Linked DNA regions of Rhinolophus ferrumequinum. The protein of the gene in region 2 purifies or fractionates together with the protein of the main gene of each other region. This does not show direct contact. Links are inferred from orthologs where the notes say so. Each region holds a gene or a part of one and is shown on either strand. Other genes may lie near its edges. The genes, in order: CABIN1, ASF1B, MCM6 and UBN1.

Region 1 (6,881 bases), on a different chromosome or scaffold from region 2:
GTCTCCTGATCAAGAGAAGCACACGTTTTTATACTGAACCTGAAGTGGTGGCAACTCATTCAAAAAAATTTTAATTCTCTGACGATGTAACGTTATTAAGGTAGATCCTAGGGAGGGCCCCTACAGGTGTGTTTGCGTGTGAAGGGGGCGCTTTTCAGACCTCCATCTAAATTTGGGACAGGCAGCAGGAGACTACCACTTTGGAAAGCCACAGGAGACGGAAAACGTCGGACAGTGTGGCTGGATCGGAGGCGGGGCTGGTGCGGCCAGGGCTCAGCCAATGTCTCGTTAGGGGGTGGGGTTACACCGGGCTGGCGGGGCATTAGGACTTCCGGAAATCTGTGCCAGAGCACACGAAGGTTGTCTGCAGCGGTTGAGGGGTGCAGCCTAGGCAGCCAGTCAGTAGGTGCTGTGTGCCTGCACAGCCAATGAGGAGCTCGGTTTCCGCGGCGCCCCGCCCTTTTCCTTAATACCGGTCTTGGGAACACCGACCTGGTCTCCGCGGGTTTTTCCTCCGCTGCGGCACCTTAGCCATCTTTCCGCCGACATGCCGTTCGTTGAGCTGGACACGAACTTGCCTGCTGGCCGCGTGCCCGCGGGGCTGGAGAAGAGGCTCTGCGCGGCCACCGCCGCCATCCTGGCCAAACCCGAGGACGTGAGCGTGGGCCGGGGAGCACGCGGCTGGGGGAGGTTGATGGACCAGGGGTCCGGCTCTGTCCACGCCCCTACTTAACTACCAAGACCCCGACTCCTCCCAAGGGCCCCCGCCCACCACCCGCCAAACTGACCTTCCGCTCTCTATGATCTCTCAGTCCCACCCCCACCCCCACCCCCACCCGCTCGGTATTGCCTTCCCTAGCCATGACTCTGACGTGCCCTCCAAGGACCCCAGTCCATGCCCCTAACCCTGACCCTGCGGGGTCCGCGCGTCTTCGATCCCACGCTTTTGGGCCCTGAGCGTGAGCCTGGCCTGCATCAGCTTCTGGTGAAACTTTCGTGTCCCCTGCAGCGCGTGAACGTGACCGTGCGTCCTGGCCTGGCCATGGCGGTAAACGGCTCGGCCGAGCCTTGCGCACAGCTTCTTGTCTCCTCCATCGGTGTGGTGGGCACAGCGGAGGAGAACCGCGGCCACAGCGCCCGCTTCTTCGAGTTCCTCACCAAGGAGCTGAAACTGGACCAGGACCGGTGCGTAGAGGCAGGGAGAGGACACTCGAGGGATTTCTGCACGACCGGGGGCAGTGATCCTGTCTCAGGGTCCCTTCTAAGGTTGGGGCAAAAAGTAAATTCTTCACCTTGCCCAAGAAAGCTCTAGTGCCCTGGAGTCCCTTGACCCCTGAGGCCCCCTAGTGGTGGGTCCACCTTCAGACTGCTAGCAGAATTGAATGCAGTCCTGGCTATGTTGAGTGTGGTCCTGGGTGGGCCACGCTGCTGTACGGACACCATCCAGCCCCTGACATGCCTGCTGCCCTGTTGGGGGTTCTGGGGAAAACATTAATGGGGTGAGGCAGACTTGCAAAATGCCTGGTGGGCTAAGGCAGGCTGGTCTGGGAGCCCATGGTGGGAGTGCCTAGCCTATGAGTCTTGGAATGAGTCATTAGCCAAGGAGCTGATGACATCTTTTTCTGTCTCCTGAAGGATAGTTATCCGCTTTTTCCCCCTGGAGGCCTGGCAGATTGGCAAGAAGGGGACGGTCATGACCTTTTTGTGATTGGCACGGAGGATATCCAGGGCATCTGAGAGTTGGCCACCTCGTCCCGAGAGGCCTGCCTGGCAGAGTGAGGGCGTGGTGGATTCCAGTTTCTGGTACCCCCACATGCAGACAGGCCTGTGATCTCACAGTCCTCTTCTTCCCCATCCTCATGCCAAATAAATGAAAAGAGCTTTGTCTTTCAAACATGACTTCTTTATCTCCCTTTACCCCTCCAACGCATGCTGGGCTACCCTGGGGAGCAGGGTTGGTTTATGAGGTGGGGACCTTAGGGAACCTGGGAGGTGGGATGTTTCCTAACTTCAGGGCTGCTCTTTCATGTATCGTATTCAGGCTGCTCAAATCAGAGGGTGGAGGGCTCATGCTGAAGGCCCTGCTCTCCATTCCCATGTGCAGGCTTCTGGGGAGACGCTGACAGCCTGGGCTTTCCTGCAGACTCTGCTGACCAGATGTTGCTGTCCTCGGCCTGGGCAGTTCCCTGCCCATAGACTGCTTTGCCTGGCAGGGAAGCCAGGCGGGTTGGGCTTCAGGGACCTTCCCTGGCATTACCAAGCTCCATCTTCTCCCATGAGTCTTGTTGAGAATTCTCTAGCTATGTGAAACCCATGCCCCAGAATGGCAAACCTAGAAATGCAGTGTCTGCCACTGGAAACTGAATGAAAGGGATCTCCCTCCCCCATCGAAATACCATATCGTGCTTTCACATATCAGAGGATAAACATTGTATGGGCACTGTGTTTCACCCTTGTCTTTGGTGTACCAGTGAAATACCAAATTGAGATTTTTTTCAGTCTCATTTAAGTTAGTTTCCAATGGAAGGTGCCTCTGCCTGCTGTGTTTGGACCAGACCACTGCTGAGAACTCTCATTAAAAGCTAGGGCTTGGAGTTCCTTCCCCTGGCAACCTGTCCCAACTGTTTCTGCATTTATTCCTTCTGCCAACATGGGAGTCCTGCTTCCCTGAGGGGCTCCGAGAATGTGGGTTGAATGTGAATGAATAGTTAACGTGGCTAAAGAGGCACCTTTGACAGGACTATAAGGTAATAGCCTTCTAGCTGGTCTCTCCACCTTAAATCTATTACCACTCTGATGAGAATGATGTCATCGGTTGGCTGTGGGGACTGGCCCCTCCAGCATTATCTCTCCCCACTCTGACCCTGAGCTTTACACCCTGGTGACACGATGCTGCCTCCAGCCCCTGGGTAGCCTGCACTTTTTCTCACGTCCAAACCCTTGCCACACATCTTTCAAGGTACAACCTAGGAGTGGGACCTGCATCCAAGCCTGCATGTTATCCATGAAACTTTAAAATCATTTGTTTATGCTTTTGTTCACTGTCCCTGGCCCCCCAAGGCTATACTGTCAAAATCAAGGTTGATGACTCAATTATTTTGTAGTTTCTGGCATATCAGTGAAGCTTTATTGTATGGAGCTGACTCTATGAGTGCTTCACAGTGATTTTACCGTCGTTAAGGTCAAAGAGAAAGCTATAACATTCATTGCTATGTAAGCCATTCTTGCTGGACTCAAGTAGCTATGCATTTCAACCAGTGTGAAGCCCTTCTCTATAACTATTAGCTCCCAAGAGAGTAACCTCTCTCAGCCCGAGACCTTGTCAGAAACCCTTCAGAGTTGGGCTCTGGAATTCTGTCTCTCCAGCTCATTCATTTACCAGGTCTTGGTTTCTTTTCCCCTTTGTTTCAATAGTTGATGGTTATCTGTGCCTTTCGGGCTTCAAATCCTTATCAGAAAGAGGTGAGGCAAGGAATGTGAAGGGGAAGGGTCGTAACCGTTTCCCTCGTGTTTCCCAAGTTTCCGTTGCTTTCAGAGCACCTGCCTCCGGTTGTACCAACAACACGGCCCGTCATTTAGCGACCGTTCGGGGCCAGGCCCCGAGCTCGGCGCTTTCCAAGTAGTACAAGTGGTGGAGCCGAAAGTCCGATCGCAAGCTGGCGCTCCGAGCCACAACGACACAAGGAACGAAGCCTACACTCCGGAAAAGTCGCAACCCTACACCAGGCTGCTCCGGACCGCGTCGGACGCCTTCCGCAGGGTTTTTGGTAGCCGGCCAGCAGGAGAACGGCGCGTGCGCCCTCACTGATTGGCTGGCGGAGCCGGCACCGGAGCCAATGGGAGTGCTCCTTGTTGTTAGGCGCGCAGCCGGCTGGTGCGGGGGTCGGGGCGGACGGGCTGTTGCCGGGGAGACGCCTGGTGAATTCCCGGGCAACGGGTTTGGGAGAGGTCTTCGGTGTGGGGGCAGGTCTCTGCTAAGCCTAAGGCGGCAGCGGGGTCGCGGGCCTGAGGCCCTGCGGGCGCAGGGTCGAGGCTACTGTGGACGCAGGGGGTTTCTGGGTAGCTCCTGTGCTACAGTAGGGGAAACCGAGGCCGGAGAGCGGGAGCAACGAGGCCAGGCTTCCCGGCTGCCCCGCAGGCCTCTTCACGGCTTTTGCCGCCGCCCTGGGGTACCTAGGACCGGCTCCGGCCTCGTGAGTGGTTTACAGTGACAACAACTGGAGCTACCATTGATTCGGCGTTTGCCGGTGCGAAGCCCGGCGTAACCCTTGACTCGCGCGCGTCCTTTCACTTCACCTTCACTGCAGCCCTGCGAGGTGAGTGCTGTTATCAGCGTCATGTACAGGAATGGAAACTGAGGTCGAGAGAAGGTGAAGTGACTTGGCCAAAGTCCCCCAGCAAACCAGTGGGTCAGCCCGACTCCAGACTGAAAAATCTTAACTGCACTGTTTCCCTGGTGCAGCCTGGCCGGGCTAGATAGAGTTGACACTCGCAGTTGTCTGCACAAGTGGCTTTGTGGGAGCCACGTAATTCTTTGGGACCAGTGTTACTAGAGGTCGTAACCATGGGGCACTGGGATTCCGTGCGGCGAAAGGTTCCTTCTGTGTGTGATTAATAACTAGTTAGAACTAAAATATCCTTAGAGTGGTCTCGTTTGGAGTTGGCAAACTTTTGTTGTAAATATAAAAATATTTCTATCTGTCTATATAGATTTGCCTGTGGACATTTCATATAAAGGGGATCATACAATATGTGGTTTGTGACTGCTTTCTTAGTGTACTGTTTTCATGGTTTAATCCATGTTGTCAGTATTTTTATGGCTGAATAATATTCCATTGTATGGGTATACCACATTTTATTTATTCATCAGTTGATGGACATTTGATTTGTTTCCACTTTATGGTTTTTATGAATAATGCTGCTATGAGCATACCTTCATTTTAATTTTAGTAGTATATTGCTTCATTGTGTGCATGTACCATAATTTATTCATCCACTCTACTATCTATAGCCATTTAGGTTTTTCCCAATATCTTGCAATTACAAACAATGCTGCAGTGAATAACCCTGTGCATACGTATTTTCCTGTTGTTGGAGGTAAATCTTCAGGGTAGATTTCTGAGAAGTGGAAATGCTGGGCAATTGCATATGTAATTTTGCCTGTCGTCGAATTTCCCTGCGGAAGGGGTTGTACCAAGCTGCATTCCCATCCACAATGTATAACAATAGTTCCTGTTTCCCCACAACCTCACCAACAGAGTGTGCTGTGGTACTTTCATTTTTGCCAGTGATAGGTGACAAATGGTGTTTCAGTGCTGTTTTCATTTGCATTTCTCTAATTATAAGTGAGTTTGAACATATTTTCATATGTTTGAGAGCCAGTGTGTGTCTTTTTTGGTAAATTGCTCGTATGTTTTCCCCATTTTTCTATCAGGTTTTTCTTTTTCTGCCCTCAGGGTTTTTTTTTTTTTTTTTTTTTTTTTAAATTCTGGTAAAATACACTTTACATGAAATGTACCATTTAAGCTATATTTACATTAATGTACCTTTCCATGGCACTAAGTACATCCACATTGTTGGCAGCCATCCCCACCATTCATCTCCAGAACTTTTTCTCATTTTCCCAAACTAAAACTCTGTACCCATTAAACAATAACTCTCCATTCTTCCCTCTCCCAGTCCTTGGCAACCACCATTCTACTTTCTGTCTCTGGATTTGCCTATACTAGGTGTCTCATATAAATGGAATCATATAGTATTTGTCCTTTTGTGTCTGACTTGTTTCACTTCGCATAATGTGTTCAAGGTTCATCCGTGTTGTAGCATGTGTTGAAATGTCTTTCTTTTTTAAGGCTGAATAATATTCCATTGTATATACACACCACATTTTGTTTATCCATTCATCTGTCAAAGGACACTTGGATTGCTTCCATATTTTGGCTATTGTGAATAATGCTGTGTCCCTCAGTTTTTAAGAGCTCTTTATATATTAGGAATATTAGTTCTTTGTGGTGTATGTTGCCAATATTTTCTTCCAACATATCAGTTGTCTTTTGACTCCTTTTGGATTTTTAAGAAAAATTTTTAAATTTTCCAGTTTTATTGAGATATAATTGACATATAGCAAGCACTGTATAAGTTTAAGGTGTCTAGCATAGTTATTTGACTTACATATATTGTGAAATGATTATCACAATAAACTTAGTTAACATGCATCATATATAGATTCAAAAAACTACTTTCCTTGTGATGAGAAGTCTTAGGATCTACTCTTTTAGTGACTTTCAAATATACCATACAACAGTGTTAGCTGTAGTTATCATGTTGTACATTAATTACACCCCTAGTACGTATTTATCTTACAACTAGAAGTTTGTATCTTTTGACTACCTTCGTCCAATTTCTTCTCTCCCATTCCCATCTCTGGTAACCACAAATCTGATCTCTTTTTCTATGAGTTTTTTTTTTTTTTTCGTTTTTGTTTTTGTTGGTTTCACGTATAAGTGAGATCATACAGTATTTGTGTTTCTCTGTCTGACTTATTTCACTTAGGATAATGTCCTCAAGGTTCATCCATGTTGTTGCAAATGCCAGGATTTATTTTTTATGGCTAAATAATATTCCATTGTATATCTGTACTTTGTCCATTCATCTGTTGATGGACACTTTGGTCTTGGCTGTTATAGGTAATGCTGCTACGAACCTGGGGGCACAGATATCTCTTCGATACAGTGTTTTTGTTTCCTTAGGATATATTCCAAGTAGAGGAATAGTTGGTTTATATGATCTGTTTTTAATTTTCTGAGGAACCTCCATACTGTGTTCCATTGTAGCTGTACCAATTTACAATCCCACCAACAGTGACAAGCATTCCCTTTTCT
Region 2 (7,896 bases):
AAGGACAAAAACGTAAAAGTCTGATAATACGAAGTGTTGATAAGGACACTGAGCAATAGCAACACTGCTGGTAGGAGTGGGAATCACGATGATCTATTTGAAGAGCAAACTGTCAATATCTAGCAAAGGTGAATACTCCCATAACCCATAAGCCAGCAATTCATCTCCTAGGTTCGTATCCTAGAGAAAATCCTGCATGTATGCACAGGGAGACATACACAACAACACTGTTTGTAACAGGTGAAAGCTGGAAACCTAAATATTAACCAAGAGGTGAATGGGTACATAAACACTGTCCAACAAAATTTTCTGTGATCATGGAAGTGATCTCTGTCCATGCTGTCCAATGCAGTAGCCATTAGCCACAGGTGCCTATCCAGCATGTGAAATATGGCTAATGTGATTGGGGAAATGAATTTTTCATTTTATTTAATTTTGATTAATTGAAATCTAAATGACCACATGTGGCTACTGGCTACATCAGATAGCACAGCTATGCAGCAGTGAAAATAAATGAATTAGAGCTATATACATGTGTCAACATGGATAAATCTCAAAAGCATTATGTTGGACCAAAAAAAAGCAAGTTTCAGACGGTAGGGCAGGTCTAGAGTGAAGGAAGTTAGGTGCCTAGGGTGAAAACTGTAGGAGGTACTTACCCTCAGGGTCATACAAGTGCAAATTGGACACTTGAGCGACCCTGAGAGTGAGCACCTCCTAAATTTTGTGCCCTACGTGCTTTCCTTGCCTTACCCTAGTTCCAGCCCTGTCAGGATCTATCTAGTATGATACTGTGTCAGGGTTCCCCAAGATCACCCCCAGGTTCAATGATTCCCTAGGAAGACTCGCAGGATTTAGCATATAACTGTATGCATGGCTATGATTTCTTACAACAAAAGGGTACAAAGCAAAATCAACCAAGGGGAAAGGCACAAGGGGCCTAAAGTCTGGAGGAAACCGGGCACAAGCTTCCAAGAGTCCTCTCCTACTGGTGTCAAATGTGACGCGCTTAGTTCCTGCAGCAGAGCTGTGACAACTCGTGTGAAATGTTGTCTACCAGGGAAGCCTATTAGAGGCTCAGTGCTAAGGTACTTATTGGGGGTTGGTCAAATACCAGAATTCCAGACTTCAGAAAGAAAGCAGGTGTTCAACATAAACCACACTGTACAAATAGTTTAAGCACCATAAGCCACTCTTACCATTTAGAGACTGCTGGGAACCCTCCTAAAATCCAAGTTCCTAGACACCAGCCAAAGGCCAGCTTTGCCAATAGGCCTTTCTAAGAATAGCTGTCTCAGGCCTCTTAGGTTAACTCTTTTTTGCATAGATATCATTTATATAAAATTGTAGAACATGACACACTACAATAAAAGACACATGCATATAAAGATGCACAACATGCACAGAAAAATAAACACCAAATCCAGGGTTGCAGTAACACTGGAGGAAAACGGGAGAGGAGCAGGTTTGAGAAAGGGCCTTTCAAATGCATCACTAATGTTTTACTTCTTCAGCTGGGTAATGAGTAAAAGTGTATTTTGTCATAGTATTTCTTAGAGTTTTTCAAGTGTGTGCACCTGAAATATTACATAAGGAGAATACAGACTTACCTGCTTATTATATATAACAGTTCATGTTTATTGCGTGCTTTTTACATTCCGGGTACTATGCTAAGCCCTTTATATGGATTTATCCTTTTTTAAAAAACCTACTGAAGACTTTCTATGTGCGAGGCCCTGTGCCAACCTCTAGAAATACACTGAGAGGTCAACATGAAGCAGGTGAGAGCTCTGCCCTTAACCTTTCAGTCTACTGAGGGATGATGGGAAATAACAAGCACAACTTAAAACCAACATAAGTACAGATTCTGAGTGCCCCTAAGATAAAACTGGGTGACGTGATTAAGGAAGGGCAACTTGAACTAGGGTGGTCCAGGAAGGTTTGACATTTGAGTTGAACCATAAATGATTTGAATGAGACAACCATGCAATTATTTGAAGAAAGCAGATTCCAGAAAGAGGGAACAGCAAGTGCAAAGCCCTACAGCAGGAATAAGCTTGGTTTGTTGAAAGACAGGAAATAAAGCCAGTTGGGCTTGAGAGTGGTGACAAGAGGGAGACTGTAGATGAGGCCTGAGAGGTCAGCTAAGGCCACCATGCAGAGCCTCCTAAGCCACAGTAAAGATCTTAAGTTTCATTTTAAGTATGATAAGCCTTTTGAAGGTTTTAAGTAGGGTAATAACATGATCTGGTTTACAATTGAAGATTATTCAGCCAGCTGTACGCATAACGCATTACAGACAGGGCCATTTTTTTCATTGGCACCACAGACATAATGCTTGTGGCTGATTAGCTTTTCAGCTAATCAGCTGAAAAGGTTGGGGCTAGGGATAAAGGGAAACAAAGTTCCACAATGTAAAAAGAAAACTACAAAGTTGGAATGAATAACTGTTTAATTAAACATCTAGAAAAATGTAACATTATGGCAACTTTATTCATCATTAAATTTAGTATTCATAAGCAACTGAATTACATTTGAAAATAATTTGAAAATTAGATTTTCTAGAATCACAAAAACTTGCAACTATGCCCAATGGTTGCCAAGAAATCACAGGCATTACAAATGTGAATTTTCTTGTAGCCAAATAGTTTTTGGGGAGAGGTCTCAATTTTTTTAAATGCAAAAAAAAGTTGTGTTTTTTTTGTTTTTTTTTTTACTTGAGATGTAGCTATAAAAACATACCTAGCATTATGAGGCTGTAAGATTCTAGGGAGGCCACAGAAGTTGCTAGATAAGAAATGCTAGTGACTTGGACCAGTCTATTCAGGCTTACTCTCTGTGAGTTTTAACACTGTCCAGAGGACTGTTGGTAAAGCTTTTCTGACAAGACATTTGAACAGAGAGACGTAAATGACAAGAAGGCACCAGCCATGCCAAGAACTGGGAGAACAGATTCTAGGTAGAGACTCTGCGCAGGGAATGCCATGTCAGATTTTTAAGGAACAAAGAGGGGGTCAGTTTGGCTAGACTGAAGCTGGGGCTGGTGGGAAACAAAGCATGTAGTCTTAAAGACAATACAGTAGTGCCCCCTTACCAGAGGAGGACACATTCCAAGACCTACCCTCCGTGGATGCCTGAAACCCTGGATAGTACCAAAGCCTATATATTCTCCTATATATACATACCTATGATAAAGTTTAATTTATAAATTAGGCACAGTCAGAGATTAACAACAATAATAAAATAGAATTATAACAATATACTGTAATAAAAGTTATGTGAATGTGGGGGTCTCTATGATATGCTGGACAAAGGAATGATTCACCTCCTCGATAGCACAGGCTAGTACAAGATTTCATCTTTCTTCACAACACTCAGAATGGTGCGCTATTTAGAACTTATGAATTGTTTATTTCTAGAATTTCCATTTACCATTAAAGTGAAGCCAGGGAAGGGTAGGATTGGGTGTGTGTGGGGGGGGCATAGTTTCCTGGGAACGATAGAAAATCACTCACGTTATATGCAGGAGGATGACTGATTCAATTTCAGACCTGAACTGTCCAATAATAATACAGTAGCCACTTGCCACAGGGGCTATGAGCACCTGAAAATAGCTAGTGCCACCCTGAAACAGAACTTTCCATGTCACTCAATTTTAATCAATTAACATTTCAATTTAAAAACCTGCATGTGATTGAGCTCATGGAAAACTTTTAAGTATGTTGGGAACAGCTTGGACATGTGAATCTACATTTTCAACTGTTAAGTTTTATAAAACTTAAAGCCAGACCAACTCTTTCTAATGAAAACATAGCTGTACTCATAAGTGTAAAACACCCAGGATTTCGCAGCCTTACTACCCAGTAAAAAATGTAAGCTGTCTCATTTGTATTTTTTACACCCATCACCTGTTGAAATAATATTTTGTTTATACTGGATTAAATGCAACATATTAAAGTTAATATTTTTTAAAACTTTTTTTAACGTGGTTACTAGAAAAATGTAAATTAAGCATGTGGCTCGAATTATTTTTCCACTAGTTGTGGGTGGTAGCAGAGAGGGTGTGTGTTGAGGTGCCTGGAGTCTTCCAGGCAACCAACGGTGCTCCAGCTCGGCATGTGGGTGGAGAGAAGTTTCTAGATGTACCATGAATCATGTCAATGAATTTTCACGGCTTCGTTCAATGAGCAGGGAAACTGTGGCCTCGTGAGCTAAGTGGCTGAGGCCGGACTCGAACTCCCAGTAATAGCGTTGTCCACCTGACACCTCCCAGCGGCCCTCGAAGGGACGAGAGCGGGATTCGAACTGGGGCCAACTCCCGGGTCCGCGCCCCAGCGCCGCGTTACCACCGCTCCATCTCCCCTCAGGGGTGAGTCAAACGTTCACAACGTTCACAACGAACTCCCCGGCCGCTGGGCCTGAGGGGCCAAGAGGCCCTCAGAGAAGCTCCAGATAACGATCACCTGCCGACAGACGCCAAAGCAGCAAACGCTTCTCCTTTCTCTTCACACCCCGCTTAACCGCGCCGCCGCTTATTTCCGCTCCTCTCCCACGAATCCCCAGCCGAGTCTTCCTCTCCTCCCGCCCCCTGAGGCTAACCCAGCCAATCACATCTCACAGAAGCTGCTTTACTCCTTTCTTACCTGCCAATCACCGCTGGCTCGAGCACCACCCTTCCCGCCCTCTTACGCTAGCGCCGCGCGCCACCGCTCGGCAGTTGGCGGCGCTGCTCAGGAATTGTAGCGTCTCCCGGAAGGGAGAGGCGAAGGGCGGGCCACGCCGGTGCGGGAACTCTCGGCATTGGCTGAGAGGAACACAGGCTCTGGCTCCGCCCACCCCGCCCTTGATATCCGAGTCGGAAACGCTGGGGATTGGTTCCCGGCGGACACCCAAAAAAGCCGAGATGGTCTCACCTCCCACGCGCAGCCCCAAGAGGGAGCTCAGCGGATTGGCCCAGGGAGTCTCGGCGCGCGCCGCCCGGCGCTCCAGAATTGGTTAAGGGGGTGCTTGCGCCGCCGGGGAGCGTTGACGGTGATTGGCCGGAGGGTGCGGCCGGCTATTTGAAGGAGGCGCGCGGGCGAGATACGCAGTTCAGTCGGCAGACCAAGGAGGCGGTAGTCTGTGAGCATCGCTGTCCGGCTGACCCGACAGGACCCAGCCGTGGGCTCCGCCCCAGCTCTGGCTTGAACTGCGGCCTGGCGAGGCGATGGCCAAGGTGTCGGTGCTGAATGTGGCCGTGCTGGAGAATCCGAGCCCTTTCCACAGCCCCTTCCGGTTCGAGATCAGCTTCGAGTGCAATGAGGCCCTGGCGGACGGTGAGGCTGGGCCTGTATGGATTCCCCCCCCCTCTCCCGTTCCCCTGGCCAACCCGACTTCCTCGTAGAGGCTCCCGCGGCCAACACCGACCTCGAAATACACCCCCAACCCTGATCTCCCCACTTCCCTCCCCGCCAGCCCCAATCTCCGCGTGGAGACTTCCTCCCACCCCCACCTCACGGCCAACCCGACCCCCTTACCCAGTTACTCCGGTTTCCCCCCGTGGAGACCTCATCATTCCCTCGCTCCCTTTTCTTCCTGTGGAGCTCCTGGGCTTTCTATGTAGAGACCTTATCCGCCGCCATTCTTTAACTTGCGGACACCCTCAGCCTCCCCATCTTCCCTGTAGCAAGAAACCCCCCACCTATTTCTGTGTAGAAAATTCTATTTTATTCCACCCACTCAGTCTTCCCCCACCCATCCCCTCCTCTCTGTGGTGAGACACTCCTGCCTCACTTTTTTCCTATGGAGACTCCAACCTCCAGCCTCCCATTTTTTATTTATACGGAAACCCTAGCCTCCCATTTCCCTTATGGAAACCTCAGTCCCCTCCCCCAGTTTCCTTGTGGCGGCCTCTCCCTCAAGTTCCCTCCTTTTCCTCCCAGTGGAGCCCCTCCTGTGACCCTTTTTCCCTGTGAAGACCCTCTCCTGTGGCAAGACCTCACTCACCCCCATCTCCCCATTGTCTCCCAATAATCCCCTCCAGAACCTGCTGATATTTAACCAACCCCATTCACTTCTTGTTTTCTACCCCAAAGTACGTAACCTAGAACCTGGCTTCCCTTCTCCTTAGCCTGGCCCCAACCCTTTATTCTTGAGCTCCACCTGAGGAGGCATAGCCTGGCTTCTAGCTCCAGTCTTTGAGGATAACTTGGTTTCCCCAGCTCCAGTTCCTACCTCCTCCCTGACTGTGTACTTCGATGAACACACTCAAATCTGAAGGATGATCTAGCCAGGCATTAGCCAGTTCCCACTGTTTGCCTGCCAGGTTTCGGCTTGACCTACTGCCATAGTTCCTCCGGCACTTCTGATGGTCTGACCTAGTCTGGAGGGTATGTGGGCCCGGCTGAGCCATGATGGTACCCAACTTCAAGCAATCAGCTGGGGGATCACAACCTTTGGGGCATCTTTTCCAAGGTTTCACTGATGTACTTATTCATCTGTGTGACATAAAGGTGGACATGGCTCTCATCTCACAGATGAGAAGACAGGAGCCACAAAGAGTGACAGACCTCGCAAGGAAAGATCTGTAAAAATCCAAAAATCTAAGGTCGCCCAGGAAGTGTTAGCACCACTTTCAAGAGGAAGTACAAGCACAAGCATACCTTGTTTTATTACACTTCACAGATGTTGCATTTTTTACAAATTAAAGGCAAGACCTTCCACCAGCAAAAAGATTACTACTCAATTTATTGCGGTGGTCTGAAACCAAACCACAGTGTCTTTGAGGTATGCCTGTACTCCATTAGACCACTTCACTGGGTTAAAGAAAAGAGGCAACAGCTGAGGAGGTGGTCTGTGAGGCCAGGGTGTACTAACTAGCGCCTCTTGATGGTAGGTGGGTGGTTTGCCTGCAAAGCCGGCCCCTGGGATTAGTTTGGGGTTGGTACAGTTTGAGATTCATGTGCTTGGGCTCAGTCTCCCTGGTTTTTCTCCTTTTTAAATTACAGAGTCTACTTGTGGCTAACTATAGAATAAGTACAGTTAAATCCTTTCTGGAACAAGGCAGGGTGTAAATAAATAAATAAAGTGTAGAATGTCACACTGGAATAAGATTTAATTTTAAAGCCAGGAGGAGATGTAAGGAGCTAATAGATTAAGGGATTCACAGTTCCCACATGGCAGGAGATCAGGTTTCAATCAGCCTGCTTGTGCTCCTTGCATTTTAAAATGGTTATGTGGTCATTTTCTAATACTTTTATTCCTATGAAGCCCCTGCTCTGTTATTTTACTAACTTGTTTTTAGAATCAGAGTAGGAAAGATCCAAAATCAACCTGCTGGTCACTATTTTTTAATAGAAACAGAATGACTACTCCATGGTCACATAGCTGGTTGGCAGAATTATTGATACTAGGGCTTTTCTCTGAGTTCTTAGTCCAGGGTTCTTTTATCTCTGCTATAACCTGGGAAAGAAAGAATGCATCCTCTATTTTAGAAGTGGAACATAAATAGAACTGATCGTAGAATTTATTTCCACATCAGGACACTCTCACAAGAGAGCAAAGGGTGTCCTGTTATTAATTACACCCAGACAATAAAGATTTTGCTCAGAGAAACTCGAGTTGCAAAGCAAACTCTAGCCTGGAAATCCAGACTCTGTTCTTCTTAGGGCTCTCTGTGACTCTGACCTGCCAGTTTGCTTTCTACTTCTTCCTGGCCCTCTTCCCATGGAGCAGAAAGAATTAGTTTCCTGCCTGTCTCCCAAAAAGATGAGTGGGCCTGACTTTAGAAGTCTCTCAGATCCTGGAGAAATCTTAATCTTATCATCTCGACACTGGCAATTGAAGATCTGACAAGACACCCAAACCCCCAGTCAATCAGCTGACCTTGTTTCCCAAGGGCTCCAAGGTCTTTTTGCT
Region 3 (7,928 bases), on a different chromosome or scaffold from region 2:
CAGATATGACTGGATTCTGGTGCAGTTCTAAGTGAATGCTCCTTTATTGCACACATCTGTGTGAAGCAAAAGACTTCTCCATATTTGCCTTTCGAGGAGGAGGAGTGGGATTAGCTAAGGCCAATGTTCTTGGAGAGAGAAGGGCTATATGCAGGGAAGCTGCCAGCCTATCTGGCGCCCCTGCACAACTTGGAACAAAGTTCTCCTTACTCCAGGGTGAATGGCTGGCTGGTAGAGTCGGACTGGATTTCAGCAGCCCCTGACCCTGCCTACCATACGTGGTGACTCCAGCCATATAAGTGGAAGAGGGAGCAGCAGGCCTTCCTGGAGTGAGACACTCACATATTCTATCACAGAAAATGAGGCCTGTGTAGTCTTCCCCTCTTCTCCTGGGTTCTCAGAGGGAAGGAGTAACTGCTGACTTGGGTGACTGTCTCTCTCCTTGCACCTCTGCTCCAACAACCCATGGTTTCAAGTTCCAAAACTTATGTCAAGAGTCTCTCTACTCACACAGAGCAGAGCAGATCTCTCACAGTCCACTCTCTGTTTGCAGGCCAACTTAGCAAGAGTTCTGCCACTCACTCTGCTTCCTCACCTCCATTCATGCCCTTGCAGTCTCACTTCTACCCCTTTCGTATTCCTGAAACTTGTTCCACCATGTTCAGTCTCTATCCTCCTTGACAGCTCTGCAGCATTCACCATTGACAACAATTAGTTCTAGAATCTTCTCTTGACTTTTCAGGTTCTCCTCCTATTTCTCTGGTTATAATTTCCCAGTCTCTCCCATGGCATTTTCCTTCTCAGCTTCCCGTTAAATGTTGATATTCCCCAGCGTTTTATGCTTGGACCTGCCTTCTTCTTTTTCTTCAGATGCTTTTTGAGTGACTGCATCTACTTCCAAAACTTCCCCACCATCTCTTGTGAGGATTTTTCAATCTGTTTCTGCTGCCCAAATCTCTCCTAAACTTGAGAAGAAAAAAATCCTGTTAATTTCAACACACCTTTGCTTATCCAATTTTTTAAATAGAGTGGTTTCATTTTATAATGTTCTTGAAATATGTTTTGCTCAAAACCTTGGAGCTGAAGACTTAGGTTATTCAATGTCTAGAAAATGTCCACCACATAACCCACTTAGTAAAGGTTGTTCTCATTGTAAATCAATCAGATAAATCACACTTACTGTTTTGTTAGGAAAAAAATAATCCAACTTTGTTTTTCAGTTCAAACAAACATGGTAATACCTGTTTCAAGAAATAGTCTAAAAGCCACTGGGAGACAAAATATGGAACACATTTTGTAAAACTGATGATTATAAAAGCAATCAAATAAATATTAAAATCATACATATATAAAATATTAACTAATCAATTTTTATAATAGCTGTAAAACACAAGTAAAATTATATGCAGTTTCTCATTTCTTAATTAACAATATAATGTAGGGTACAGTTAAAATGATGTTATTATGAATTGAGAAGTATTATGGAAGTTTTAAATATTTTTTCAGTACTGTGTGTATGTAATTCTGGTATTCAGCTTTTTGAAAAAATTAAATAAGTATTATATAAAAATAGGTAAAAACTGCCATCAATCCTACTGCTCTCTCCACTAATTTGATAGACATCATGATCAAACTTCTCATATTTTTAAGTAACTAAAGAGGAAGACAAATGACTAAAAATACATTTAGTCATTTATTGTTAAAAGTAATTTATCACAGCTAGCATATAATTTTCTTACTTTGTTAATAAGAGGTAGGATATGTTAAATATTTTGTAAGATGAAGATTAACCGTGTTTGGAAGAAACTTTTTCTAATATGATTTGATAAATATCTTACTGAATATTGCATATCACCTAAAATAAATCATGTAAAAATTTAATCTGCTGACTTTATTCAAAGTAAGTTGAAGTGTTAGTTAGGAAAATATTAGTTAGATTTAAAAGAATCAGTATCATCAACCCATACTGCTACAGCTGTTTGAAGGAATTTTCCTTCTAAGCCAAACATACGTCTCAGGAAAAAGAGCCTTTCTGTTGTAGAGAGTCATTCTGAAATAGCTACATATGAAATGATACGGTATCTAGGATTTGCTTCAAAACTATAAGGGAGTGGTGAGAACTGTGCTTTGCCTCTGTGCTTTACCTCCCAAAGCACAGTCTAAGCAAAAGAAAAACATCAGACAAATCCCAATTGAGAGATGTTTTGCAAAATACCTGAGCAGTATACCTTAAAACTATCAATGTCATCAAAACCAAGGAAAGTCTGAGAAATTTCAAAGAGCAGAGGAGACTAAGCAGACGGGACAACTCAATGTAATGTGGTGTCCTGGATGGGGTCCTGGAAAAGAAAAAGTACATTAGAGGAAAACTAGTGAAATCCAACTAATGTATGGAGTTTAGCTAATAGTACTGTACCAAAGTTAGTTCTTTAGTTGTGACAAATGTACTACAGTAAAGTAAAATGTTAACAGTAGGGGGAAATGGGCACAGAATAATGTATGAGAACTCTGTACTATCTTTTGCAACTTTTAGTATCTAGATAATTTAAAATAAAAATATTAAGATAATAACAATGTAGAGGGAAAAGTAGATGGAGTGTGTGGTTTGGACAGGATTGGCCACACGTTGATGGTTATTGGGGTTATATAATGGGAGTTCATTATATACTATTTAGACTATTATAAAATAAAAATGGCGTTATTTTATTATTCTACATTTGTGTATGTTTGAAATTCTATTATAAGAAGGTTAAGAAAAGAACATATATTGTGTTGGGGGTCCACAAAACCATCCTCAGTTTCAATGATTTGCTAGGACTCGCAGGACTCAATATATAAAATTGTACTCACAGCTATGATTTGTTACAGCTAAAGGGTAGAAGATAAAATCAGCAAAGGGAAAAGGTATATGGGACAGGCAAAGTCCAGAGGAAACTAAGTACAAGCTTCCTAGAGTCCTCTCCCTATGGACTCATATAGAACGCACCAATTTCTCCCCAGCATCAAACCATGACAGTACACATACCACATTTTCTACCAGGAAAGCTCATTAGAAAAGCCCAGAGTTTTTCTTGGTGCTGTTCAATAGGCACTGTCTACCTAGCACATATCAAGATTCCAAATACTACTCAGAAGATGTTCAGCACAAACCACATTGTTTGTACAAACGTTTTAGGCACAGTGAGCCATCCTTATCATTTATGGGAGGTGTCATATGATACCAGTGTAGGGAACTCTTTACCAGTCAAGCTCCCAAATGCTAGCCAGTGCTCAACCTTGCAAGCAGGCCCTTCTAAGGACAGCAGTCTCAGGCCTACACACACACACACACACACACACACACACACACACGGAGGCGTACAACTCCTGGGATATAGCACAGAGCTGCTTCATAACCCACACCTTCCTCCTGAGGTATCCCACAACCCTCACTTGGAGACCTCATCTGCTATTCTGGTCCAGAGGTGATGTCTGAAGGTGGAAGAGAGGACCTGTGAGGTGTGTAAGGTTGAAAAGAGGAAGTCTCAACTTTCTCTCAAATGGGCATAGCTGCAAATTAGCCTGTAATTCTACACTCTTGTTCTTTGCTTTTTTTTTTCCTTTGGTATGTGGGACTTTAGTTTTGAGAAATCTACCCCGAGAATAGAAGATGAAGAGAAGGTAAAAAATGGAAAAGAAAAGAATGAGGCCTTTTGAGAGTATTAGGCAACCTGGTCAGCATACTACTCCTAAATATCTCCTGGATCCATTCCTAGTAGATGAGGGGTGTGAATAGCATGAAGCAGGGTGAGTTTGAGGTTCCTAAAATACATACAAGTAGTGATGTCCACAGGCAGGCAGATTCTGGAGCTGGGGAAGGGTTGAGGGATGGACACAGAGCCTCAAGGGTTCTCATCCTCTTCAAATGAGGTAATACATACAATCTCCCATCCATGACAGTACACTAGCAATGAGCATTTTTGTTAAACCTTGTGAATATCTTGTGAAGTGTGTGTTAAAAGAATTACTATAACTTCTGTCACCCTCTTTGACATTGAAAACATTTTTTTAATGTGCTGAAGGCCTCAAAAATTGAAAGTGGTCCAGGCTTCTCTTAAACTCTTGGAGGCTCAAGAAACAGTATCAGCTGTTGACACACATTTGTAAGTCATCAGCACCCAGATGTTAATTGAAGCCAAGGGACTGAAGGGAGTAGCCCAAGAGAGCTCCTTTATGGGAAAGGAAGGCTCTGGGACTAGAATATTTAAGGGACTCACTGAAGAAGACTTGGCGCTTATAAAGGAGGCTAAACAAGAATGGCCAAAGAGATAGGAGAAAAACCAAGTGAAACGAAGTCGGAGAAAGATGACCAAAGAAAGGGGAAGAAAAATCAGGAGGTCACAAGCAAGGAGTGCGTTGAAGAGAGCAATTAATCAACAGAGTCAAATATTTCGCTGATTTTCCCGGGTCAGCATTGCCAGCATAACTATGCCAACTCCCCATGCCCGGTACTGTGTGTACATCCATGTTCGCTCTTTTAATGTTTTACCCTGGTTTACAGTTTATTTCCTCCGATGAGACGGCCCAAGCTGAGGGTCTGACTCTTACTCATTTTTCTCTTCCATAAAGCCCTACGCTTACTGCTCAATTAATGTCAGTGGAATGATGTGAAGAACATTTGAAAAGCCACACAAACAACGATATGGCCTTTTTAACATGCTCTAGAAGCCAGATTCCCCAGGACCCAACCACACTGCGCAGACGCACAGGCAGACACCCCCCCACACACACACACACACACCCCGTTTCAGCAGGTTTTTGCTTTTGGCGCGAAATCCCCGCTTCGTGGGCGGGACTAAGGGAGAGGTCTCAGCGTTCTTCCGGAAAGTTTGGCGCGAAATCTCCGTGCTCCTGCTTCGCGATTGGCTGCGGCCGGCCCGGGCCACGACGGGCGGAGCTGCGGCGGCGGCGGCGGCGGTAAGCGCAAAGCCGCCGCGTCGGGGAGAGGCGACTCGTGGCGGCCCAGCGTGTCGGCGCCTGCCCCTCGGCGCTGCACAGCCATGGACCTCGCGGCGGCAGCGGAGCCGGGCGCCGGCAGCCAGCGCCTGGAAGTCCGTGACGAGGTGGCGGAGAAGTGCCAGAAGCTCTTCCTGGACTTCTTGGAGGAGTAAGTCCGCGGTCTGCCCTTTCTCGCCGAACTTCCCCGAGCATCCCCTCCCAGCTTTAGGAACCCGGGAAGCCCCGTGCCCGAGGGCAGGGTTAAGGTGTGTGGCCGGCGGTTGTTCCGGAACCGCGATCGCGCGCCTTGGGGAGCGGCCCGAGCCCCAGTTGGGGCTTAGCCAGGCCCCCGCTAGGAGCTAGGACCGGCTGGCTTGGTTTGCAAGGGTGAAATCCATGGCAAACCCTTCCTCAGGCTCTTCTTGTGCCCCAGGCTAAGCGCTTTACTCCACCATTCAGTCTTCACTACCTTAAGGCTGGTGGTCGTGTCGCCCCCGATCACCTGTGCGGAAATTGAGGCCCCGGGACGGTAAGTGACGTCCGGCTACGCCACGCGTGGGCAGGGTCGAGCGAGAAGCCGAACTGGCACTGGAATCATGGCAGACGCCCGAAGGGACTGCACAGCCAGGACCCTGGTGTTGGCACCCAGGTCCCTGGCAACCCGGGAGCCTGTGGAGATGAAAGGACTAGAGTGTTCCCTGTGGTTTAACGTGCTGGGGTGAGGGTGAGCCTTACCCTGCTTAGAAGTAGCTGAACATTCTCCTTTCCGTCCTTTCCTTCCAAACCCCGCCCCCCACTTCTTTTTCCGTTGCCTTCTGGGCTCCTGGCCTCTCGTACCCCCGCTCCCCGGTTCGATGCCACTGCGGCCAGTTAACTGTTCTTAGTGTAGATACTCACTTCTTTATTTGAGAGTGTGGATTCTGCTGCCTCGGGATGAAAGGTAAACATTTTGGAATGTCCTATGAATCCTTTATTTACTTGAAAAATATACATCACATAAAATTTACCACTTAAATGTACCACTGTAAGCTTTTTTAAGTGTAGAGTTCAGTGGCATTAAGTACATTCGCCTTGTTATGCAGCCATTATCACCATCCTTCGCCAGAACTCTTCCCAGACTGAAACTAGGCACCCAATAAACAATTACTCCTTTCCCGGCACCCCCTCAGCACCTGACAACCACCATTCTGTTCTCTGCCTGTGCGGGTGACAATACCTCATGTGCTTGGAATCATTAAGTATGCGTCTTTTTGTGACCAGCTTATTTCACTTAGCATCCATGTTGTAGCGTGTGCCAGAATTTCCTTTTTAAGGCTGAATAATATTCCATTGTATGTATATACCACATTTTCTGTGTCCATTCATATGTCCGTGGACATTTGGGTTGTTTCCACTTTTATTGTGAATAATTCTGTATTACAAAATTGTGATTTACTTAAAACCATAATTTATATTTCCCTACCTTCGGCAATGTTATTCTCTGCGTGACAGATATTCATCCTTCAAAGCTCAGTTAAAGATTCACACCTCCTTTGTGAAACCTGATAAACCGATCAGACAACACCAAACCTTTTTTCCCTTATGTTCCCAAGTTGCCCTTTTCCATTATATCTGGTAATATCGTTTCCAGTATCTTTACCTGTCAGCCACTTCATCTTCAAGGTAAATCCCATCCTTAACCCCACCTAGCCACCACACCACATTACTGAGGTCCTCAATGAATGTTTCATTTCAATGATATCATTACCTTCACTACCTTGCAGTTTACCATGCAGCTAGATGCTAGGGATGATGATGAACAAAACAAATAATCCCTGTCCTTCGTTGGGGAAAAAATGCTAACTCTCTTTAAAAATACCAACTTTGATTTGCCATTGCTTATGGAAAAAGTCCAAATTCTTCACAGCTCCTCTCTTCAGTTTCATCTCCCACAGCCAGCCTGTCATCATCCACCTTCCTTCCAGACCTTTTCTTACTGCCACGTACTTGTAGACATCTGTAACCAGTCTATCTACTGCTTGTTTTTCAGATTTTAAGTCTTTCCAGGCTGAATTCCAGTGCCACCTTTTAGATGCATGAAGCCTTTCTAGATGTTAGGTAGAATTACTTTATGTTCCCCTATCACATTTCTTGCACTTCCCCCATTTTTTTCCTTTTTTCTTCTATTATGGAAAGAACACTTACATGAGATCTACCCTCTTTACAAATTTTTAACTGCAATATATTGTTGAGTATAGGTACAGGGTTGTTGTACAGTAGATCTGTTAGAGTTTATTCATCTTCCTTGAGTGAAACTTTTTACCTGTTGATTAGTACCTCAACGTTTTCCACCTTCCTTCAGCCTGGCAATGACCATCCCACTTTTTGATTGTATGAATTTGACTATTTTAGGTGTCTAATGTAAGTAGAATCATTATTTCACTTAGCATAATGTCCTGAGGGTTCATCCATATTGACACATGTAGCAGAATTTCCTTTTTTAAGGCTGAATAGTATTCCACTGTATGTGCATACCACATTTTTTTAAATCATTTGTGATGGACATTTAGGTTGTCTTGTACCTCTCTTTAGTAGGAGTGTCTCCTGAGAGTGTCAACCCTAAGGCAGGAACAGCACTCATCTGCAGCTTCAGTTACATAGTGCTTTTGCAGAGTCGTTCAGTAAATCTTAACAGAGTTAGAACATGCTGTATTTGAAGGAGGAATTGATTTTGCCTCAAAACTGATCTGCATATTATGTTAAAAGAACGAAAAGCAAATATGTTTGTATGATACTTTTAGAAAAAACACACCAGCTTTATTTTGTGTGTATGTTCCCATTTTTCTGAGGTCTTGGGCAGTGAAGAACCTTATTTCTGTGTATTTTTATTCTGTTCGGTTTTTTCCCCCTTCTTCCGCCTCCCCCGCCACACACACACACACACACACACACACACACACACTCTGGTTCAA
Region 4 (7,927 bases), on a different chromosome or scaffold from region 2:
GTCACATTTTCCTAACCCAAAATTACATTTTCCTGTAAGAATCATAAACAGAAATACAACTACTTAAAGAAATCAAACCATCTAGCTAGAACTAGGTAATCAACTTGATGTAGTGATGGGAACGCGAAACAAATCATCAGAATCTCAAGCAAATACCTTCTTCCCCACACTGTGATTTCTTATATGGCCTATCAAAGAATCTCATATTAACGATTCTGATTTCAACTCTAGGACAGGGCTAGCTAAATGTTACAACATTAAAGCAAGTCATTTAGTTTCCCAAAAGAAAACAGATTAAACAATTACTTTTATTAAGGTAAATAAAATTTTAGTTTTCACTGTCTAGCTCATGCATGAGCCACACTGATAAACAGCCATTAAATGGGAAACCAAATTGGTCCTATAGGAGGAACTGCCTATGGAGTTGGCAAGAGAGGTGTGAGAAACTCTCAATGTGATTATTATATTTAGAAGGTGGTGAGCCCTAGTTCTCACCTGACTGACACTGTTATTGGCCCCAGGACAATTTCTGCAAGGTAAGAATAGCACCTTTTCTTTAGGTATGAAGCCAGAATGATGCCATTTTATAGACTACCTAGTAGGACTGAACTAGGGTCCACAGAATACTCTCAGAGCAGCTCAGACCCAGGCCAATGCCTAAACAAAGGGAAAGCGAAACTCTTGGTGAGCACTACTCACTGATCCTCTGTTCCAAAAAACTTCACAAAGAAGCACTTCTTTCCACGAGGTTTCTTCAAGTCCTTGGGTGGATTAACAATCTGGGGGATAAAAGGGAAAAAAAGGTTTTTTCCCACCATTCTAAGTTGGTAAGAAAAAAAAAATCAAATAAAACAAAAGAAATGTCTTAAAAAGAAAAAAACCGAGCGCCTAGTATGTATCCAAATTTGGCACTTTTCTACTGAGATGTGTGGAGATGTACAAATATTCCAAAGTTCTCTACATCTAACATGTGGCACATCGTTCAGTAGATACGGTATTCCTTTACTGCAATGCCCCTGTTTTAAAAGCAGTTAAAACTAAGACAAATATCATCCCCTCATCCCATGTGACCCTGTCATCACTGAAGAAATGTAGAGGACACTTTTAAAAATACTTCTGTGAAGGAAGAGTTGAGACAGGTAATAGTGACAAGGAAAGGCAACTGAAGCACTGAAAATACCATATTGCAAGGAGACAGTCTAAAGACATTTCCTGGGCTCCTAGCAAGAATATAAAAACAGAACATTTGGAAAGCTATGACGGATCGCCTCATGCAAAATTTGAAATGCCAACTTCTGCAAAGATGCACTGGAGCAGCACATATGGTAACATAGAAGATTTAAACTTAGTTGGGACAAAAATACTTTGACTTTTCACTAGTCTACATTTAGATTTCTATCTTCCTGGAGAATTTATTTTCTTCTCCTTTCGTTAGATTTAAGTGTAAAGCTAAATTCAAATTAGAATTGATTTCCAGGGTTAAAAACCTCCACAAAACCATCTCTGATTCAAGAAATAAGCATTTAATGAAGATTAAGTGATCTGGTTTATATTATATTGCCTTTTCTAAATGAACTGATGTTCCAGAAGAAAAAATTCTGTTACTTAAAATAGGCAGTTTAACTCAATGCTAGAAATTGAAGGGAATGCATCTTACATTCTCCACCTGTTCAAACCCAACTTCAGATGTCTTCCTTTAGTTCAGTAGCAAGAGACTCACCTTTCCTGGCCAAGGAGGATACCTGCCGAGTTTCCCCCTAGAGAAAACACAGAGAGTCAGCACTTGCCCTGGAAAAGCCAGTCCATCTTCTTCAACCCACTCAACATGCAATTTATTTTCCTAAATCTCCACTTGCATCCTCAAGTGCCAGAACAAAAGCTGGCACACAGGAGTTCTTAATCTGGCTTCCCCAGTTGGACTCAACAGGCCCAAACTCCTCAGAAATGGAATGCAAAATTGTATACCTATGTGCATAAAGTATGTACATTCTTCTGGTGACAAGGGATACAGAACAACAAAACCGCCAAGAGCCACTTGTCTAGAGCCTCCCCGTGACGGGGGTGGGGGCCAGTTTGCTCTGTAAACACAGACTTCCCCTTACAAAGTCTGGTTTAATTCACCGCGAGACCAGCTGGCTTTGCCAAATGCTAATGGAAGCCTTCCTCTGGGTCGAGAAATAAGCTACGCAGCTCGACCGAGGCGGCGACAGTCAGTCTTGGTTCGGGCGGTTGTCTGGGACACAGAAGAAGACCACAAGAGGCACCCAAAACGGCACTGATCACTGCCAAGCCTTCGGTTGTAAAGAAGAAGTCTCCTCTCCATTTCTTCACCGGGCAGCGCCATCAGTCCGGTTTCGACACCCTTGGCCAAGCCGCCCGCAGAGTTCGGTTCCATTGCAACGCTGGTTTTAACGGGCTTGCCGGGGCGAGATGGCCTTGAGGGCTCCCCCGCTTTACAGGGAACCCCAGCAAGACCCCGAGGAACCCGCACCGCGGGTGGCTCCAGAAATGCCCCTCACAGTAGCCGTCGGCGTCCGGGTCCGGAGCTCAGCTCTCTCCCGGGCGGCCTCGGAGCCCGGCCCGCCGCGGCCACCCTCGGCCTCAGTCCCCCGGGGCAGGGCTGCCCCTTCCGCCCGGCGTCGCTCCCAGCACCGGCACCTCGTCTCGCCCTCTCTCCGCGGCCTGGAGCGCCCAGAAAGGCAGCTCCGGGGCTGTCCGCCAACCCCGCGCCCAAAGGAGCAGTTTCCCGTCGCACCTCGCTTGGCCCCGGACGCCCGGACTCACCACACCAAATCGCCGAGCCGCAGACTCACAGCCGCCATCTTACCACCCAACCACCACCGACGCACAGGCCGCCGGGAACTTCAGGTCGCCCCGGCGCCGCCCATTGGGTTGAGTCCGGCCACGTGACGGGGGCCGGCTGTCATCGGCCACGCCGCTGCTCTGACGTCGCCACGCCCGCCGGTGCTTATTGGCCGGCTAGGCGGCACGTGACGCGGGAGCCGCGGTCTCCGCGCGCTGGAGCCGAAAGACTCCCGGCTCCTTTCCCCTCCCTTCGGCTCGTGACAACGAAGCGCCCGGGATCTGAGGCGGCGGCGACGGCGGCTGTGCGGCCGGTCCAGCGCGCAAAGGAGCCGACCCTGCGACCCGCCCCGCCTCCGGACCCTGGTCTCCATTCCCCTCCCCCACGGCGCTTCCGTTACGGCCGTTAGTCCCGCGCGGGCCCCGGGGCCGGCCGCGTCGCCTCGCGGGCAGCTACCCTGACGGACCTCGGCGCGGCCTGGAAGCCAGCCTCCGCCCGTGCCCGGGGCCCCGCACCCGGGGTCCCGCGCCCGGCGGGCTCTGCGTGGCCGCGCCCGGGGGCGAACGGGTCCTTCAGAGCGCGCTTTTTGCCAGCTGCGTCCGGGGAGCGGCTCCGAGCCGGAGCCCGTGTCCGCGCTTCAAGTTCTCCCGGGGCGCCAGTGCAGCCCGCCTCGAGGTTCCGAGTTGATCGGCCGACGTGGAGCCAGAGTCTCTCCACTTCCTCCTGGGCCGGCAGACGGCACGGCCAGCGAGGCTCCCCCGGGCCCGCGGGGACCCAGCCATGGGCCGCGGCGCGGGTTGGCCGCCCGCCGGGAGGCATGGCTCCGGGACCGGCCGCTAGCAGCGCCGCAGCCCGGGCTCCCGGGCCGGCATGAGGACGGTCGCGGGGGGACAAGTGCGGCCCGCGGGGCCGTAGCTTGCGTCGCGCTGGGGACAAAGGTGCGTGTCTTTGTCGGGACCGGGCTCTCACTTAAGCCGAGTTGTAGTTTGACACTTTTGGAGAAGTTAGGAGCAGGTTGTTGTGACAACAGGGAGGCGGATGCCAGGCGTAGTTTCAATACGTGAAAACAAGCCGTTGAATGAGGAACTAGGAACCGTTCACAGAGACTGCCCAAACGTCAGATTCCTGCTAGAAAATAAACATTTTCAAAAAGTCCCATTCCCAATTACAGACCTCAAGGACTCTTAAGTCAAGTGTTGACTTAACTTAGACTGGACTTTTCTTGAGTCGCCGCCTGCTTGAAAAGATTGCAGGTCCACACACATCTATCTCCCTTAGGCGTTTTGTTACACGGAGACTTTGGTTGTATGTGGGATATTTTTGTTTTTGTTTTAGCGAACTGGCTTGTCCACAGCTGGTTTTTCACTGGAATTCAGTTTCCCTAAAGTACTGTCAGTTTTAGGAACTGTCATTTACCGTCTTGAATTGTTTCAAAGACCAACCGATAATTTAAAGCACATTTGTGATTCCAGGAAATAATTTCATAAAATTCAACATATGTTTCTGATTTTAAAACTCTTAAATTTTGAGGATTGAGGGTTATTTTAATGACTTGATAAAAAATGTGAATTTTAAATTAACTTCACACTTGGCCTAGAGGCATTCCCGTTACAGTCAGGAACATGGCAAAGAATATATTGTCTAATATTATCCTGTAAGTTCTAGCCAATGCAGTAAGACCTGAAACAAAAACGAGACACCATTTTTCAGAAAGGAGACAAAATTCTCATTTCTGTGGATGATAGGACAGCCTATTTTGAAAAAAAGCCTATTTTGAAATTCAGTAAAGAAACTAATTAGAAACTCAGCATACAAAATTCAGTTTTTCTATGTTTCACCAATAATTAGCTTGAAAATACAGTAATTGAGAGGACGTTCAACAAAAAAATATATCATTCCTGGGAATAATCTGAGATACAAAAAGAAGCTAGCATTTCTTGGGTAATATCAATTGAGGGTTTTTAAAAGGGATGTTGTTTGTAGAATACTGTGCTTAGAATAAGGTTTAACTCCTTAAAGGTGAGTACAGGCATACCTCGCTTTATTGCACTTAACTTTGTTGCCCTTCACAGATGTTGCGTTTTTTACAAATTGAAGGCAAGACCCTCCACCAGCAAAAAGATTACGACTTGCTTTATTGCGGTTGTCTGGAACGGAACCTGCAGTATCTCTGAGGTATGCCTGTATTTAAATACTTAGGTTTTCTTTTTTTCAATAATTTTTTTTTTTTTTAATATTGGGGAACTGTATTTTTCCAGGGCCCATCAGCTGCAAGTCAAGTCGTTGTTCTTCAGTCAAGTTGTGGAGGGCGCAGGTCAGCTCCAAGTCCAGTCGCTGTTTTCAATCTTTAGTTGCAGGGGCACAGCTCACCATTCCTCTGTGGGAATTGAACTGGCAACCTTGTTAAGAGCTCCTGCTCTAACCAACTGAGCCATCAGGGCGCCCCCTTAGGTTTTCTTAAGGCTTTAAATTTTGCTGACAAATCTTGTTTCATTTACAAATCTAAGAATGTTTTTGTAAAAACAGAAGTACTTCATCTTTGACAGAGCTTCAATTAAGGCACCAGTTTAACAGATTAAATTTTCCTAAACAATAAGCTTTTTATTACAAAGTTAAATTCCCTTAAATGTGTTAAATTGCATTTGAAGTTTTAAATGCTTGTTCTCTCTAATACTTCAAACTTCTAAAACAGGGAACTTATAAACCAAATAGTAAAATCTTTCCAAGGACTTAGCTTTTGTAAGGCTAATAAATGTATAATGGTAAGATTCTTTTAAAAGAATATTTTTGAACCTAGTTATATTTTCTTAAGGATTTCAAATTAAAATTGTAAGTCTGACGTCAGACATTAATATGTCTGAATCTCTTAAACGTTTCTAATGGCCTAGTAACAAGCAATAGCAGTTATCACGATGACTAAAAATCTAAAAGGCTATAGGTTTGACTTACATGATTCTCTAGTATTATATCTATAACTTCTCAGGCCTGCAAAGTCACTTAAACAACTAAGGGAAGCAGTTTTACTATCTAGGTGGATTGAAGTTACAATGTCTAAAATTTGGGCCAGGTCGTTTCTTGGCCTTTTGGCTAAGATCAAGTGTAAAATTTGGGCCAGGATAAGGGTATATTTTAAAATTACTGCCTGGATTGGGGCAGGAACCTGGTTGTCACTTCTAGGATGACCTTCCTGTATCCCATCGGTTACTTGCAGATTCTCTTTTTATAGTGAGACTTTGCCTGTCTTATCGATGAGGGTAACTTTCAAGCCTTCAACCTTTAGCTGAAATTTATTTTCACAACCCAAGTGTATCACAAATGTCCTGGGGGCCTCGAAAGTTTCCTTTAGAGGAATTTCTTTCAACGTCTTAATGCCCGATGGTCTTTTGCACCACCAACCTGTTTTGCTGCTAATCACTTTGCTGCCTCATTAGCATTATTTTAACTATTTTTAGATATTTTACTCCTTTGTCTGGTATTATAGATCACAGTTTATCGTCACAATGGAAAGAATGAGAATTGCGTGTACTATATAAATATCTTTATATATGTATGGGAATATATGATATAAATCTTTTTGAATTCATATTTATGATTCATTTACAGTTAAAATGCAGTGAGTTTTTTGGGAACTTGTCAAACTGATTCTAAAATTGATCTGAAATAATAAATAGGCTGGAATAGCCAAGTATTTTAAAAGAAGAAGAATAAAGATGAATGTTAAAATCAAGATGTTAAAATATACCATAAAATTTCTTAAAACAATATGGTACTGGTTAAGGAATGTTTAGCTACTACATCAATATGATAGGATGGATTTCAGAAATAGACCTTAACTCTCACTGTGTTAATTGATTTCAAGGTTTTTTTCCCCAAAATGTGTCAAAAATCCACAAAAAATAAAAAGTTGATATTTTGACTATTTTATGCATTTAATAACATTTTGAGCTGCTTTGTACATAAATGACATTTTTATTTTAAACATTTATTATGTGGTGATAAATTTATCATTACCTTTAATTTTAGCAAAAACCACTCAAAGCATACTAAGTGGTATCAATTAGATATAAGTATAGATATATTAGAATCTAATGGCATTGATGACATAAAAATTTATTACAAAATGTTACACAATATGGCATACAAAACATCTTTGTTGTTGATAGTGCAAGCCACAGGAAAACACATCCGAATGTCACAGCAAAAGAGTTAAGATATCTGAGACGTTATACATAGTATATACCAAATCAGCAGGGCAAAGAAGAATTATTTAGTGACTGGTGCTGGGAAGAAACCAAGTTAGAGCCTTACCTCTCTCCTTATAAGCAGAGTAAATTCAACGTGAAAGTTAGATCTATAAAAGACTGGCTAGGTAAATTCTTACATACGAATTACCTGGTTGGAGAAGGACAGTTTAGGCACAAAAGAAATGGGAGAAATTATAAGGGAAAAGAGCCTAGTTTACTGCATAAAAAGTTAAAATTTCTTTCATCATACCTCTGAGCAAACTTAAACAGAAAATAACAATGAAGAAAATGCATTTGTAAGAGATATGACAAATGTTACATAGGTAATATATATTATATATCTACAATATATCAGAAGCCCTTAAAAATGAACAAAAAAGACTTAATTTTTTTCAACCATTTCCTTAATGCTGGACATTCAGGTTGCTTTTATCATTTTTCCTATACAAACAAGGATGCAATGAATATCCTTTTTGAAGCCATATGATAAGTGCACAGCATGATGGATTTTCACAAACTCAGTACACTCATGCAACCTTTACCTCATGCAGACTTTACCTGCTAAGACATTCACACTAGAATGTCAGTTTCAAAAAGCAGGACACAAATCATACATGAAGCACAAAATACATATGCATGTGTATATGTAGTATATTCGCATATTTATATTCTGTAAACCCTTGGAATTCTGGAGTTTACAATATAAGCTGACCATTTCCAAGCAACTTTGAAGGTCTTTGGCATGTGATAATTTGTCGCTTGGTCGAGGCCCAAGTTTGCGTGGTGAGAGGCTGGTGCATTAGGAAGTGAGCCCTAGCCACGTCACTCCTAAGACAATGCCCAGGGTAGGCATTACTCTGAGCTGGTGAAAACTTTGTCA

Evidence for each region.
Region 1: the proteins of ASF1B (region 2) and CABIN1 purify together in Homo sapiens (affinity purification with mass spectrometry; 3 studies listed by BioGRID and IntAct, counting the BioPlex papers as one, with this or other methods). This does not show direct contact. The link is inferred for Rhinolophus ferrumequinum from reciprocal best matches to the Homo sapiens genes ASF1B and CABIN1.
Region 3: the proteins of ASF1B (region 2) and MCM6 purify together in Homo sapiens (affinity purification with mass spectrometry; 4 studies listed by BioGRID and IntAct, counting the BioPlex papers as one, with this or other methods). This does not show direct contact. The link is inferred for Rhinolophus ferrumequinum from reciprocal best matches to the Homo sapiens genes ASF1B and MCM6.
Region 4: the proteins of ASF1B (region 2) and UBN1 purify together in Homo sapiens (affinity purification with mass spectrometry; 3 studies listed by BioGRID and IntAct, counting the BioPlex papers as one, with this or other methods). This does not show direct contact. The link is inferred for Rhinolophus ferrumequinum from reciprocal best matches to the Homo sapiens genes ASF1B and UBN1.

Annotation. Positions count from the first base shown.
Region 1 is NC_046308.1:22,513,622-22,520,502, reverse strand, and holds the start of CABIN1 (calcineurin-binding protein cabin-1), read left to right. Parts: upstream 1-3,875; 5' UTR 3,876-4,316; intron 4,317-6,881. Other genes in the region: DDT (D-dopachrome decarboxylase), read left to right, coding at 548-655, 1,010-1,185, 1,636-1,708. UniProt on the Homo sapiens protein: May be required for replication-independent chromatin assembly. May serve as a negative regulator of T-cell receptor (TCR) signaling via inhibition of calcineurin. Inhibition of activated calcineurin is dependent on both PKC and calcium signals.
Region 2 is NC_046301.1:47,878,722-47,886,617, forward strand, and holds the start of ASF1B (histone chaperone ASF1B), read left to right. Parts: upstream 1-4,896; 5' UTR 4,897-5,206; coding exon 5,207-5,315; intron 5,316-7,896. UniProt on the Homo sapiens protein: Histone chaperone that facilitates histone deposition and histone exchange and removal during nucleosome assembly and disassembly. Cooperates with chromatin assembly factor 1 (CAF-1) to promote replication-dependent chromatin assembly.
Region 3 is NC_046291.1:82,500,742-82,508,669, forward strand, and holds the start of MCM6 (DNA replication licensing factor MCM6), read left to right. Parts: upstream 1-4,913; 5' UTR 4,914-5,039; coding exon 5,040-5,146; intron 5,147-7,928. UniProt on the Homo sapiens protein: Acts as a component of the MCM2-7 complex (MCM complex) which is the replicative helicase essential for 'once per cell cycle' DNA replication initiation and elongation in eukaryotic cells.
Region 4 is NW_022680357.1:5,961,209-5,969,135, forward strand, and holds the start of UBN1 (ubinuclein-1), read left to right. Parts: upstream 1-4,916; 5' UTR 4,917-4,978; intron 4,979-7,927. Other genes in the region: GLYR1 (cytokine-like nuclear factor N-PAC), read right to left, coding at 700-779, 1,721-1,757, 2,785-2,822. UniProt on the Homo sapiens protein: Acts as a novel regulator of senescence. Involved in the formation of senescence-associated heterochromatin foci (SAHF), which represses expression of proliferation-promoting genes. Binds to proliferation-promoting genes.